Saccharomyces cerevisiae S288C: one gene and its partners. Changing the gene in region 1 together with any one later gene gives a genetic interaction. Each region holds a gene or a part of one and is shown in the gene's direction. Other genes may lie near its edges.

Evidence for each region. Genes that interact genetically often act in the same process or in processes that back each other up.
Region 2: mutations in EDE1 (region 1) and CHS6 together harm fitness more than expected from each alone (negative genetic interaction), as found in Saccharomyces cerevisiae (3 studies listed by BioGRID).
Region 3: mutations in EDE1 (region 1) and ENT2 together harm fitness more than expected from each alone (negative genetic interaction), as found in Saccharomyces cerevisiae (4 studies listed by BioGRID, with this or other methods).

Annotation. Positions count from the first base shown.
Region 1 is NC_001134.8:127,315-133,691, reverse strand, and holds EDE1 (Ede1p), read left to right. Parts: upstream 1-1,651; coding exon 1,652-5,797; downstream 5,798-6,377. Other genes in the region: PSY4 (Psy4p), read right to left, coding at 1-1,268; RRT1 (Rrt1p), read right to left, coding at 6,082-6,377. UniProt on the Saccharomyces cerevisiae protein: Functions at the internalization step of the clathrin-mediated endocytosis (CME) as an early-acting scaffold protein. Requires clathrin adapter proteins, ENT1/2 and YAP1801/2, for normal spatiotemporal dynamics and viability.
Region 2 is NC_001142.9:237,698-242,154, forward strand, and holds CHS6 (Chs6p), read left to right. Parts: upstream 1-1,716; coding exon 1,717-3,957; downstream 3,958-4,457. Other genes in the region: 1-phosphatidylinositol 4-kinase LSB6, read left to right, coding at 1-1,389; SAP185 (Sap185p), read left to right, coding at 4,385-4,457. UniProt on the Saccharomyces cerevisiae protein: Member of the CHS5-ARF1P-binding proteins (CHAPS) which mediates export of specific cargo proteins, including chitin synthase CHS3.
Region 3 is NC_001144.5:552,649-556,919, forward strand, and holds ENT2 (epsin), read left to right. Parts: upstream 1-1,929; coding exon 1,930-3,771; downstream 3,772-4,271. Other genes in the region: HMX1 (Hmx1p), read right to left, coding at 76-1,029; ubiquitin ligase complex subunit HRD3, read left to right, coding at 4,140-4,271. UniProt on the Saccharomyces cerevisiae protein: Binds to membranes enriched in phosphatidylinositol 3,5-bisphosphate (PtdIns(3,5)P2) and phosphatidylinositol 4,5-bisphosphate (PtdIns(4,5)P2). Required for endocytosis and localization of actin.

The DNA of each region.
Region 1 (6,377 bases):
ATCGCAACCATCTTATCCTCTTGTGAAGAGCTCATCGATGGACTCACTAATTCGTCACCTGGTAACAGTCCTTCACTTCTACCCTCATGGTTTTCATGAGCATCCTCTTTCTCCTCCTCCTGGCTCGATGAGATCTCATTACTGCCGTCCATGGCATTGAGGAGCGAAGACGATGGCGACTCTATTATGGAGAACCTGCCCGTTGCGGTATGTTTATATTTCTTTGGCGTCGTGAGATCCATGTTTGTGAATGATGGTGATTCGTCATATTCAAAGTTATCTAAATCTGTGGGCTTCCTCTTCCTTGGAGTTTCATTTTTCTTGTCAAAATTTTGCACCTTGGTACTTTCGCCCGCCTGCCTATCTTCGTCATCATCTTCATCGTCATCTGTGCTGCCCATGTGATCATCATCCTCATCATCTTCATCTGCACCATCTTCACGATAATCGTCGTCGTTGTCATCGTCATCTTCATCATCGCTATTATTCTTCGTAACATCGCTCTGACAATTTTGTCCTTTATTATCGCTATTATCATCGTTTATCCCGCAATCATCCTCATAGTATTCTTCCACCATGAAATTTTCATCTTTCAGCAAAACATTACGCTTACTCTTATTCCCCATCTCCCTATCTTCATCACCATCAAAAAATCCTTCCTCTTCATCCTCGTCATCGTAGCCTAGGTTGACACTCATTATAGAGTCGATTTCTCTAATAAAGGGTGCCAACTCCCTAGTATTGTTTTCGGTCATCCACGGTATCTTCATTAGTGAGACATCTTCTTGATTCTTGATGAAGTTAATATCTTTCTCCTTATCGTCCTCTTGCTTCTCACCGTGTGTTTTATCAAAAACCTGCCAACTGCTAGTTACCATGCAACATTTTTCTAGCGCATTTACAAACTTCTCCAATTCATTGATCTTGTAATATTTGAAAGGATCATAACACAATTCGCATATCCGAAGTATTGTGAATGGAAATGTATGATTTTGTAAAAAATTATCATTCAGAAACTTACCCAGCCAATTTAATCTAGTAACGAGATTTCTCGCATCGTTCATTTCATTCTTAAGGTTTATAAATAGGTCAAACGGTATTGTTTCAGTGATATGCCGGATTAAATCAGGCAAAACTTGCTCGGGACCCGCCGTCACCAATCGCGTCTTGTCGCCCTGTTTCACCACATCGCTAAGTAATTCATAAAGGCTGATAGACTTGATACCCATCATATTATTATCCACATCATCCAACATCGTCGAGCTCATAGCTTTTTATTGTGCTTTGACAATCGATGAGAACACCAACAAAAAATGATAATAGGTATTGTTAGCTGTGTCAAAATACATGCTTTTGATCGCGAAATGAAAAACTACACAATCATTACCCGTCGGCGCTTCGGAGGGGGATTAGATTTCTCCTATAATCAAAATCTTCAACTATTACAAACCCCTTTTCAGAAGCACATTGAAAACAACACACAACAGAGCACTTTGTGATAGGCAATAGAGTGCTTTTAAATAGAGAATTACTGGTTCTCGCGAAATAATATAGCGCGTTGAAACTAATAAATAGATTCGTGAAGCTCTAGATCTATCTTTTTTCCTGTTTTTATCTGTGTGTTTTCAATAGGATTCGAACGATATAGGCCATGGCATCTATTACTTTTAGAACTCCATTATCCTCTCAGGAACAAGCCTTTTATAATCAGAAATTTCACCAATTGGATACGGAAGATCTCGGGGTGGTCACTGGCGAGGCAGTCAGACCGCTCTTCGCGTCTTCTGGTCTTCCAGGGCAATTACTATCGCAAGTGTGGGCTACCGTCGATATAGACAATAAAGGGTTTTTGAACTTGAACGAGTTTTCGGCTGCTTTGAGAATGATCGCTCAATTGCAAAATGCTCCCAACCAACCAATTTCCGCTGCCCTATATGAGAGCACACCTACTCAACTGGCTTCTTTTTCTATAAATCAGAACCCAGCCCCTATGCAAAGCGGTAGTGCAACCGGCAATACAAACAACACTGATATTCCTGCCTTATCCTCAAATGATATTGCTAAATTTTCACAACTGTTTGATAGGACAGCAAAGGGTGCTCAAACTGTTGCTGGTGATAAAGCCAAGGATATATTTTTAAAGGCAAGATTACCAAATCAAACTTTAGGTGAAATTTGGGCTCTTTGTGATAGAGACGCATCCGGTGTCTTAGACAAATCTGAGTTTATAATGGCCATGTATTTGATCCAACTATGTATGTCTCATCATCCTAGTATGAACACACCACCGGCCGTGTTGCCTACTCAGCTGTGGGATTCTATTCGTTTAGAACCTGTTGTTGTTAATCAACCAAACAGGACTACTCCTTTGAGTGCTAACTCCACTGGCGTATCTTCACTAACAAGACACTCTACTATATCACGTCTATCTACTGGTGCATTCAGTAATGCTGCTTCAGATTGGTCTTTAAGTTTTGAAAAAAAACAACAGTTTGATGCAATTTTTGATTCATTAGATAAGCAACATGCTGGTTCGCTAAGCTCTGCTGTGTTGGTTCCATTCTTCTTATCCTCTAGATTAAACCAAGAGACGTTAGCCACCATCTGGGACTTAGCTGACATCCACAACAATGCTGAATTCACCAAATTGGAATTTGCTATTGCCATGTTCTTAATTCAAAAAAAGAATGCTGGTGTCGAATTACCGGATGTTATCCCCAATGAATTATTACAGTCCCCCGCTTTAGGACTTTATCCGCCAAACCCACTTCCTCAACAACAAAGTGCACCTCAAATTGCCATCCCCTCAAGAGCAAGTAAGCCTTCTTTACAGGATATGCCACACCAAGTTTCTGCCCCAGCAGTTAATACTCAACCAACAGTTCCACAAGTTCTTCCTCAAAACTCAAATAACGGTTCTTTGAATGATTTACTGGCTTTGAACCCTTCATTCAGCTCTCCTTCTCCCACTAAAGCACAAACTGTGGTTCAAAACAACACAAATAATAGTTTTTCATATGATAATAACAATGGCCAAGCAACATTACAACAACAACAGCCACAGCAGCCTCCACCTTTAACTCACTCCTCCTCTGGATTGAAGAAATTTACTCCCACCTCAAACTTCGGTCAAAGTATAATCAAGGAAGAACCAGAGGAACAAGAGCAACTAAGGGAATCCAGTGATACTTTTAGCGCTCAGCCTCCGCCAGTTCCAAAACATGCTTCAAGTCCAGTCAAACGTACAGCTTCAACAACACTGCCACAAGTTCCCAACTTTTCTGTGTTTAGCATGCCAGCAGGCGCTGCCACTAGCGCTGCCACTGGTGCTGCTGTAGGCGCCGCAGTGGGTGCTGCTGCTTTAGGCGCATCCGCTTTTTCAAGATCTTCCAATAATGCATTCAAGAACCAGGATTTATTTGCAGATGGTGAAGCTTCTGCTCAGTTATCTAATGCTACCACAGAAATGGCTAATTTATCTAACCAAGTAAACTCCCTGTCCAAGCAGGCAAGTATAACTAATGACAAAAAGTCAAGAGCGACCCAGGAGTTGAAACGTGTTACTGAGATGAAAAATTCCATTCAAATCAAATTGAACAATTTACGTTCTACCCATGACCAAAATGTTAAACAAACGGAACAACTGGAAGCACAAGTACTTCAAGTAAACAAAGAAAACGAAACATTAGCGCAACAGTTGGCTGTATCCGAAGCAAACTACCATGCCGCTGAGTCCAAACTCAATGAACTAACTACTGATTTGCAAGAATCTCAAACAAAGAACGCAGAATTAAAAGAACAAATTACGAATTTGAACTCGATGACAGCCTCCTTACAGTCACAATTAAATGAAAAACAACAACAGGTCAAGCAAGAAAGGTCAATGGTAGATGTTAATTCAAAACAGCTAGAGTTGAATCAAGTCACAGTAGCAAACTTGCAGAAGGAAATCGATGGTCTTGGCGAAAAGATAAGCGTTTACTTAACTAAACAAAAGGAGTTAAATGACTACCAAAAGACCGTGGAGGAGCAACACGCACAATTACAAGCTAAATACCAGGATCTGTCCAACAAGGATACTGATTTAACGGACCGTGAAAAACAATTGGAAGAACGTAACAGACAAATTGAAGAACAAGAAAATCTCTACCATCAGCACGTTTCTAAATTGCAAGAAATGTTCGACGATCTATCACAGAGAAAAGCTTCTTTTGAAAAAGCTGATCAAGAGTTAAAGGAGAGAAACATCGAATACGCTAACAATGTGAGAGAGTTATCCGAAAGACAAATGAATTTAGCTATGGGACAATTACCTGAGGATGCTAAGGACATTATTGCGAAAAGCGCCTCTAATACAGATACAACAACCAAAGAAGCCACATCAAGAGGAAATGTTCACGAAGACACTGTATCCAAATTTGTCGAAACTACTGTTGAGAATTCAAACTTGAATGTTAATCGGGTTAAAGACGATGAAGAAAAGACAGAAAGAACCGAAAGTGACGTATTTGATAGAGACGTTCCAACTTTGGGATCTCAAAGCGATAGTGAAAATGCCAATACAAACAACGGCACCCAGTCAGGAAATGAGACAGCAAATCCAAACTTAACTGAAACATTAAGTGATAGGTTTGATGGTGATTTGAATGAATATGGTATTCCAAGAAGTCAATCCTTGACATCGTCTGTTGCAAACAATGCTCCTCAATCCGTAAGAGATGATGTTGAGCTACCGGAAACGTTGGAAGAACGTGACACCATCAATAATACTGCGAATAGAGATAATACTGGAAACTTATCTCACATTCCTGGTGAATGGGAAGCTACCCCAGCTACCGCTTCTACTGATGTTTTGAGCAACGAAACTACAGAAGTTATTGAAGACGGAAGTACCACAAAAAGGGCTAATTCAAATGAAGACGGTGAGTCGGTCAGTTCTATCCAAGAATCTCCAAAAATCTCTGCTCAACCAAAAGCAAAGACAATAAATGAAGAGTTTCCACCAATTCAGGAATTGCATATTGACGAAAGCGATTCATCCTCTTCAGACGATGATGAGTTTGAAGATACCAGAGAAATTCCATCAGCAACAGTGAAGACCCTTCAAACTCCCTATAATGCCCAGCCCACATCAAGTTTGGAAATCCACACGGAACAAGTCATAAAATATCCCGCTCCAGGCACTTCTCCTTCACATAATGAAGGTAACTCAAAAAAGGCAAGCACCAATTCCATTTTGCCTGTTAAGGACGAATTTGATGATGAATTCGCAGGGTTAGAACAAGCGGCTGTGGAGGAAGATAATGGTGCTGATTCGGAATCTGAATTTGAGAATGTTGCGAATGCTGGGTCGATGGAGCAATTTGAAACCATAGACCATAAGGATCTCGATGACGAACTACAAATGAACGCTTTTACAGGGACGTTAACTAGTTCCTCTAACCCAACTATCCCAAAACCACAAGTACAACAACAGTCAACCAGTGACCCTGCTCAAGTAAGCAACGATGAGTGGGACGAGATTTTTGCTGGATTTGGTAACTCCAAAGCTGAACCAACCAAAGTAGCTACCCCAAGCATTCCACAACAACCAATTCCATTGAAGAATGATCCTATCGTTGATGCTAGCTTGTCAAAAGGTCCAATAGTTAACCGCGGGGTTGCAACTACTCCAAAGTCTCTAGCCGTCGAGGAGTTAAGTGGCATGGGATTTACTGAAGAAGAAGCGCACAATGCCTTGGAAAAGTGCAACTGGGATCTAGAAGCCGCCACTAACTTTTTGTTGGATAGTGCTTAGTCTGTAATGGACCATTTCGTCTTCTTTTTGTACTTCTTCCTCGAAGCTGAATCATATTTACCCTTTTCCAGGATCGTCCTTGTATATTGTGAATTATTCTAAAAGTAGAATATGTTGTACTTTAAAATTGTTATAGTTATCATCATCTATTTTTCCATTTTATAAAATTTTTACGTTAGACAGTTATGTATTGAAACTGCTTCATAAGTTTTGAAAATCATCCCAGTTTGGTAAATACACTAACCAAAAAAAAAAAAAGCTCTACCACATAATCTTTGGGCGTATTACAACATGGGAAACACGACATTATTGAAAATACAAAAAAAGTAAAGTAAGACTCGTTCAGGGCATAAGTCAATGGCCCTGTAAGAAAAAACAAAGTAGCTAGGCTCATAAGAGATTATCTGTTTAATTTTCTTTGAATAAAAAAAAGTATAAATCGATAAGATAAAATACCACAATGAAAAAATAAAGGCTACTTGAAAACAACTGGACCAAACCAAAACCCAATTAACCCAGACCAGTAATGAAACACGAATAGAAATATACCCAATCAAAATAGAAGGAAGAAAGACCAGAT
Region 2 (4,457 bases), on another chromosome or scaffold:
TTCAACCATTTGGTTTCTGACTGTATTGAGGCTGTAGAGACATTTGGACGCGAACTCGAGAGAATCCAAACTGGCTCAAGTGGGTCGTACTTTGTGTATGGAACACGGGCCGACGAAAGCGTTCCGGTGGGGGTCTTCAAGCCCAAGGATGAGGAACCATATGGCCCATTTTCTCCCAAATGGACCAAATGGGCACACCGCACGTTTTTCCCATGTCTGTTTGGCAGAAGTTGTCTGATTCCAAACCTCGGGTACATCTGTGAAAGTGCGGCTAGTTTGTTGGATAGGCGACTGGAAACGCATCTAGTACCCTATACAGATACTGCATCTATAGAGTCTTTTAATTTTTATGATAATAGAAAAAAATGGGTATTGGGATACAACCTTCAGAAGAAGAAACAAAAAAAGCTGGGTTCTTTCCAACTTTTTTTGAAGGAGTACATCAACGCCGATGAGTTCTTTCATAAATACCCATTACCTGGGATGTATTCAGATGTTAAACATTCATTTCATCGTAAGTCATCCGGCGAAGATATCAATCATAAACCAGAGACAACCAGGAACCTAACAGATGAGACAGAACCGTCCAAGCAAATAAATTCCTCTCCAATTTCGACGGAATCTGAAGAAAATTCGAAATTTGAATGGACAGAATCAAGTTTGAGTCAGTTCAGATTGGAACTAGAAAAACTAATTATCCTTGATTATATAATGAGAAACACAGATAGAGGTCTAGACAATTGGATGGTGAAACTAATCAAACTTTCAAACAATAAGTGGAGACTCAAGTTAGCCGCCATCGACAATGGGTTGTCCTTTCCCTGGAAGCATCCTGATGAGTGGCGTCTGTACCCATATGGCTGGTTGTATTTGCCTCTGCAACTACTAGCCAAACCATTTTCTGAGCAAATGAGATCTCATTTCCTACCGATATTGACAAGCACTAATTGGTGGGAAGAGTCGTACCAAGAATTCTTGGCCCTATTTAGCAGGGACCAAGATTTTAACGTCCGAATGTGGAAGAAGCAATGGGCAGTATTAAAAGGACAGGCGTTCAACGTTGTCGAAACATTGAAAGACCCACGACAAGGCCCCTTGGAATTGGTTAGAAGGACAAGGTGCCAGGTAATAGATGAGAAGATGCAAGTTCCCTGTTGCCCACCTCCAGTTTCTATTTTCAAAAACGCCATAGACGAACCTATTGGATCATATTCCACTTCACCAATGGTACTCCCTAGCACCCCAAGCACAATTCCATTTCATGCACATAACCAAAGCAATAGTAATCCTGTATACTATGATTCCACTCTGCACCCATTTGCTAATAAAACAGTGATAGCAGAGCGGCTACAAATAGTCAATTCCACCCCCGTATTCACCTGGTGTTGATTTTTTGGAAAATAATTCAATACATACTCAATATAAAGAAATCATAACTCTACTTTAGCATATAGGAAATAGACTCTTTCGAAAAAACCTCTTTCTGTAGTGTTAGAAAGCAACCGGCTATTATTTTTGTGTGTCTTCGAAAAATCGGAACCCAAACAGATCTTAGCGGATTCATGGTAAAAATAGCCTTGAAGAATTTAGGAAAATAAATAGATACTCAAAAAGGAATAGAGGATCTTAACAAATCATTACATTACTTAACTCACATTAAAAGCAAACACCTTTCTTAAGCTGTTGGTGCAAAAAAGGATTACATCTATTGCCCTTATGAATTTGTTTTGGCCATCGGAAACCAAAAAGCAAAATGAAATACCTGGTGGCGATTATACACCTGGGAACTCACCTTCAGTACAAAAGGGTTATCAATTCCTCAATCGAGACATATTTAAAAGTTGTCCACGAATTATGGAAAGGCAGTTTGGTGAGTGTCTGCACAATAGAACGCATTTAATCAAGGATTTAATTTCTTCTGGCAATGTTGGACTAGGTCCCATTGAGATTGTTCACATGTCCTACTTAAACAAACATGAAAAAGAAGAGTTTGGTGAATATTTCTACGTTACAGGGATCGAAGTTTCCGGTCCTGCAATGCCCGTAGAGTTTCTTGAAGTGCTAAAATCGAGTAAGCGGATTTCCAAAAATATATCGAATAATATCATATTGACTTATTGCTGTTTTAATTTTTTCAGCAATCTAGACATCCGTATTAGATACGATGCTGACGATACTTTCCAGACAACGGCAATTGACTGTAACAAGGAAACCACTGACCTGACCATGACAGAAAAAATGTGGGAAGAAACGTTCGCAAGTTCTGTCATCCGAGCGATAATAACAAATACTAATCCAGAGTTAAAACCTCCCGGTTTAGTAGAGTGTCCATTCTACGTTGGAAAAGATACTATCTCCTCTTGCAAAAAGATCATAGAATTACTCTGCCGATTCTTACCACGGTCACTGAATTGCGGGTGGGATTCTACCAAGAGTATGCAAGCCACCATTGTCAATAACTATTTAATGTATAGTTTAAAAAGTTTTATTGCAATCACGCCAAGCCTAGTGGATTTTACAATCGACTACCTGAAAGGACTTACCAAGAAAGATCCAATCCATGACATATACTACAAGACGGCTATGATCACAATTCTAGATCACATAGAAACAAAGGAGTTAGACATGATAACTATTTTAAATGAGACGCTCGACCCCCTTTTATCTCTGCTAAATGATTTACCGCCTCGCGATGCTGATTCAGCACGATTAATGAATTGCATGAGTGACTTGCTGAACATTCAAACAAATTTTTTGTTAAACAGGGGTGATTACGAACTAGCATTAGGCGTCTCTAACACATCAACCGAACTAGCCTTAGACTCTTTTGAATCTTGGTACAACCTAGCGAGATGCCACATCAAAAAAGAGGAGTATGAAAAGGCTCTCTTCGCAATAAATTCAATGCCTCGTTTGCGCAAAAATGATGGACACCTGGAAACAATGTACAGTAGGTTTCTTACCTCCAATTATTATAAAAAGCCATTGAATGGTACCCGCGAACACTACGACTTGACTGCAATGGAATTCACGAATCTCTCGGGAACGTTGAGGAATTGGAAAGAGGATGAGTTAAAACGGCAAATTTTTGGAAGAATCGCAATGATAAACGAAAAAAAAATCGGTTATACAAAGGAAATCTGGGATGATATTGCGATAAAGTTGGGTCCGATTTGTGGTCCACAATCTGTGAATCTGATTAATTATGTCTCCCCTCAAGAGGTCAAAAACATAAAAAATATCAATTTAATAGCAAGGAATACGATCGGCAAACAATTGGGATGGTTTAGTGGTAAAATATATGGGTTATTAATGGAAATTGTGAACAAAATTGGTTGGAATGGCTTATTAAACATCCGAACAGAAGCTTTCATGATGGAAACTGAATTCTATCAAGCTTCTAACAACATTATCGATGAAAACGGTCATATACCGATGGAATCCCGAAAGAAAAGGTTTTGTGAAGGGTGGCTAGATGATTTATTTTTAGATTTATATCAAGACTTGAAATTGAGCAAGATTAGCCTAAGCAATAAAGATGAAAAACACAGCGGATTAGAGTGGGAACTTTTGGGTTTGATCATGCTGCGTACCTGGCATTGGGAAGATGCCGTAGCTTGTCTAAGAACAAGCATAGTAGCTCGATTCGACCCCGTAAGTTGCCAGCAGCTGCTAAAAATATACCTGCAACCTCCAAAAAATATTCAAGAGGTTACATTACTAGACACAGATACCATAATAAGTTTATTAATTAAGAAAATATCATATGATTGCAGGTATTATAATTATTGCCAGATATTTAATCTGCAACTGCTAGAAAAGCTATGCAACGAATTGGGGACGCATATACTGCGTAATAAGATCCTTCTTCAACCTTCCATAGGAGACGAAATCATGGTCATGATCGATGCCATGCTTGCGTGGATAGCCGACCTAGATCACACAGTACAACCTTGAACAAAACGGTGCTCTTAGTATTATTATATAACCACTACGGTTGGATGGACTGAGGGTAAGGGTAACCGTATACCTTTTATTTTTTTTTTTACATTTTGAACTGGGAAGAAAATTTTTTTTGCGAGGGATTGACGGCTAACGCCAAAACACTCCGAAGAGAATGAGAAAAGCTTGGGCATCGCTCGAAGTCATCGAACGGGACTATTTTTGTTTAAAATTTCACCAGATCTGCTTGATAAGGGTAGTTTAGCTTGTGTATTTGGGAAAGGTACGCAAAAGATATATTTTACTAAGATCTTTAAATATTTTTAGCTTGAGGTAATACATGCTAATTTTAGTTGATTAGAGATTCTGAAAAATTCGTTTTAGTTAGTGTTTAAGAATAGTGGCGTTTATCGTTTTGCCCATTTAATAATTAGGAAAAAATATGTCAGGGTCCTTTTGGAAGTTTGGACAAGATTTTGGTTCACAGTCTCCATTAGCTAAACTGTTGAACAGGG
Region 3 (4,271 bases), on another chromosome or scaffold:
CCTTCCCTATTCTTCATATTTTGATATTATTTCATGTATATATTATGTTTGTATTTAGACTTTTTTTTTTATACGTTATACTATGCTAAGAAAACTCTTTACCAAGAAGTAAAGAACCCAGATCGCGATAATAGAAAGCACCAGCAGCATGACCGTGTGGAGTGCTCTTCTAGTAGCAGAATCCTTGTTGAACATCCATTCTTCGTACAAGTACGTAATACACTTGAAGCTGAACTTGCCCATTAACTCGCGACGATTCAACTCTCCAATTTCTGCAACGATGTTGAAGTTCCAATCAAAAATGCCTTCTGCGACGCTAATGATCTGCAACTTTTGTGCTTCGGTCAATTCCGTCCTGGTGGCCAGCTCATAGTTCTTCTTGTATTCCCATTTCAAGCGTGTTTCTTCAGTGGGACCCAGATCGCTGAAGGTGAAGAAGTTTGTGCCCTTTTTGACCAGTTCCTTCTGTGATAGCTTCTCGAAGTTGGGGAAGAGCCCCAGTCTTCTGTACAAATTCGATCGTATTAGCTTGCCGCCGGCGAAAAGCGCCAAGTACAGAACGTGACAGTAAGAAAGAATGGTGCATGGCTCCTTGTGTATGTTTTCGTGGATGTTATTGATAAACTGCTGTAGTAGCGGTGGCTTCTGGAACGTAGCCAGGAATTCGTTTAATGATTCTGTGCTTTTAAACGTGTTTGAGTATAGCAGCTTCAGGTCCTTATAGATCTGCGTAGATCTTCTAAAATCTTCGAGCCAAAACTGCTTCAGAATGGTCGAAGTTTGCAGCTCCTCCTCCGTTACGGGGTCATTCAGTAGGCGATCTATCTCTTGCTCGATGGCATCGAACACATAATAGTACGCCAGAATACCCTGTCTGTATATAAAGCCATGTCTCATGGCGATGGCCATCTTTATGCCCATGAAGGTATTGATTTTATTGTGGGCATCTCTGGTTTGAAAGTTGATTCTGTTTGCTAGCGCCCCCACGTCAGTGGGTGAGGGTATGATTGTATTGCTACTGTCCTCCATTTTTGCGGTTATTTTATGTGTGTGTGTGTATATATGCTGTGTTATATTGTGCACTGTTAAATAGCTCCTCCTTAGACTAAGCAAGAGAGTATGAGGAGGTTGCTCTTATATACAAACACAAGAGGGCGAGAGGGGCACCTGGCCATTGCTCCATCACACCCAACTCAGGTGTAAATCGTCCTACTTATGAAGGTCATTAGCCCATGTTTGAAACCGTGTGTTACATGGCTCAAATTCCACGGTCCGATAACGCCGACCCCGAGCAGGTGCAAATGGCCAGGCGGTATCGCCAATGATCCGTTTATCTAAAGATAGATAGATGGCCGAACGTGGACTGCCTCTATGGGTACAATAACATATGCACATGGCAACGGGTCTTGGTGCTCAATCGACGGGCACATACACCCTGACTTTCCCCATCATACGACGATGCTCTAGTAAACTTGCACCCGCACCTGTTAGATAAACAAGTGCGCCCAAGATCACAATACCGAAGGGGCGATATCACCACTCAGTATTCTACAGTCGAGCATAGCGTAGTCTGGCAGTATCCCGCACGATCCATTGTATTGTTTGTCCAAACCGCATTTTATGTGTAACGATTAATCGTATATACATGGCCTACAAGAAATTACCCTGCGGCGAAGGGTGAAAAAAAAAGTAGTGGAAACTAAAGAAAGAAGAGTTTAGTTACGGACCCTTTCAAGGATTGACACACTCCCAATATTTTGCTACATTATTGACCTTTGTTGAAGGAGGCGTTCGTTTATTTAATTATTTTGTTCTGTTTTGCCTACAACTGCGAATACGCTCACATTCTAGTTTGACCTTCACAAATTCTTATCATCTTCTTTTGTTTATTTTGACACACCCCTATTAAGTGTATTTGTTTTGTAAGTAATGTCTAAGCAGTTTGTTCGTTCTGCAAAGAACATGATGAAGGGCTACTCATCCACACAAGTGCTTGTGAGAGATGCCACGGCGAACGACTCGAGGACTCCATCGATAGACACTCTCGACGATTTGGCACAGAGATCTTACGATTCGGTGGACTTCTTCGAGATTATGGATATGTTAGACAAGAGGCTGAACGATAAGGGCAAATACTGGAGACACGTTGCCAAATCGCTGACCGTTTTGGACTATCTTGTTCGTTTCGGGAGTGAGAACTGTGTGCTATGGTGCAGAGAGAATTTTTACGTAATTAAGACATTAAGGGAATTCAGACACGAAAATGAGTCCGGATTTGACGAGGGACAAATTATCAGAGTAAAGGCTAAAGAACTCGTCTCTTTGTTGAATGATGAAGAAAGGCTACGCGAAGAGAGGTCTATGAATACAAGAAACAGAAGGGCGAACAGAGCTGCTAGGCCAAGGCCAAGAAGACAAAGAACAAGGAGCAACCCACACGATTCTTCTCCCTCTTACCAGGACGATTTGGAAAAGGCCCTAGAGGAGAGCAGAATTACTGCTCAAGAAGATGAACAACGTAGAAGAGAACTGGCCCAGTACGACGATGAAGATCCTGACTTCCAAGCTGCCTTACAACTAAGTAAAGAAGAAGAGGAGTTGAAGCAATTGCAGGAACTACAGAGATTACAGAAGCAACAACAGTCTCTGTCTCAATTTCAAGCTCCTTTACAACAACAACAACCACAACAACAACCAGCGTACTACGACATTTTCGGTAATCCAATCTCCCAAGATGAATACTTACAGTATCAGTACCAACAGGACCAGGAACAAGCAATGGCTCAGCAAAGATGGCTGGACCAGCAGCAAGAACAACAGCAGCTTGCTGAACAACAATATTTTCAGCAGCAACAACAAGCTGCGGCCGCCGCTTCTGCCTTGCAACAGCAACAAACAGCCGCTAATATGCAACAACAACAACAACAGCCCGCTGATTTTCAACAACCTTTGCCTACAGGTTCTAATAATCCGTTTTCCATGGATAATCTTGAAAGACAAAAGCAGGAGCAACAGCATGCTCAATTGCAAAGACAACAAGAAGAAGCTAGACAACAACAAGAACAATTGAAGCTACAACAATTGCAAAGACAACAACAAGAGGAAGCTCAATTACACCAGAAGAGGCAAGAAGAAGCCCAATTACAACAGCAGCAAGCCCAATTGCTACAACAGCAAGCCCAGTTCCAGCAACAACAACCCTTGAAGCAAACAAGGACTGGGAACCAGTCTATATCGGATAAATACAGCGACTTGAATACCTTGTTAGCAACTGGTACAGGGATAGATACTTTTGGTAACACTGGAGAGGCACGTATTCCTGCACAACATACAAAGACAGGCACATTTATAAATTCTCAGGGTACAGGCTACAAACAGGTTACTAATGAACCCAAGAACAACCCTTTCTTAAGCAACCAATACACTGGTTTACCAAGCACAAATATCGTGCCCACGCAAACAGGGTACGGGTTTGGTAACCAACCTCAAAGTCCTCCTACTAATTCTCCTCAGCAAAATCCTACTGGTATAAGCTACTCTCAGCCACAACAGCAACAACAGCCACAGCAACAACCGCAATACATGCAAAATTTCCAACAACAGCAACCTCAATACGCCCAAAACTTCCAACAACAACCACAATACACTCAAAATTATCAACAACAACCACAATACATTCAACCTCATCAACAACAACAGCAGCAGCAGCAGCAGCAACAGCAGCAACAGGGATATACTCCTGACCAAGGTGTAAGCTTAATTGATCTTTGATACTGTCCTATATATACTTTTTTGTCATGGGTACACATACATGTACGACATATATATATATATATATATATATATTAGCGAGTTTACATTGATGTAGAGCAGTAACTGGAAGAAATAAAAATTTAAACTTAATACTAGGGGGTCCGTCTTCTCGTGGGTACTTCTTTTACAGTTTTCAACTTCTGCTGACTTGTATGCCTTCTTGGCGCTTCTTCGGAAAAGTTGACAGCGGGCTTTACTTTAACGGCAAATCGCAGTAAGTAAGCAAGTAACGAACTCGCACTTCAGCAAAATAAAAAAGAACAATCGATTAGAAATTCAAATTTCACCGTGACTCTTTAACCCCTGCCGAATATTATAAGCAAACTATGATAACACTCTTATTATACCTGTGCGTAATATGTAACGCAATAGTGTTAATAAGGGCTGATTCGATAGCGGACCCTTGGCCTGAAGCGCGACATCTACTAAATACCATAGCTAAGTCCAGAGACCCAATG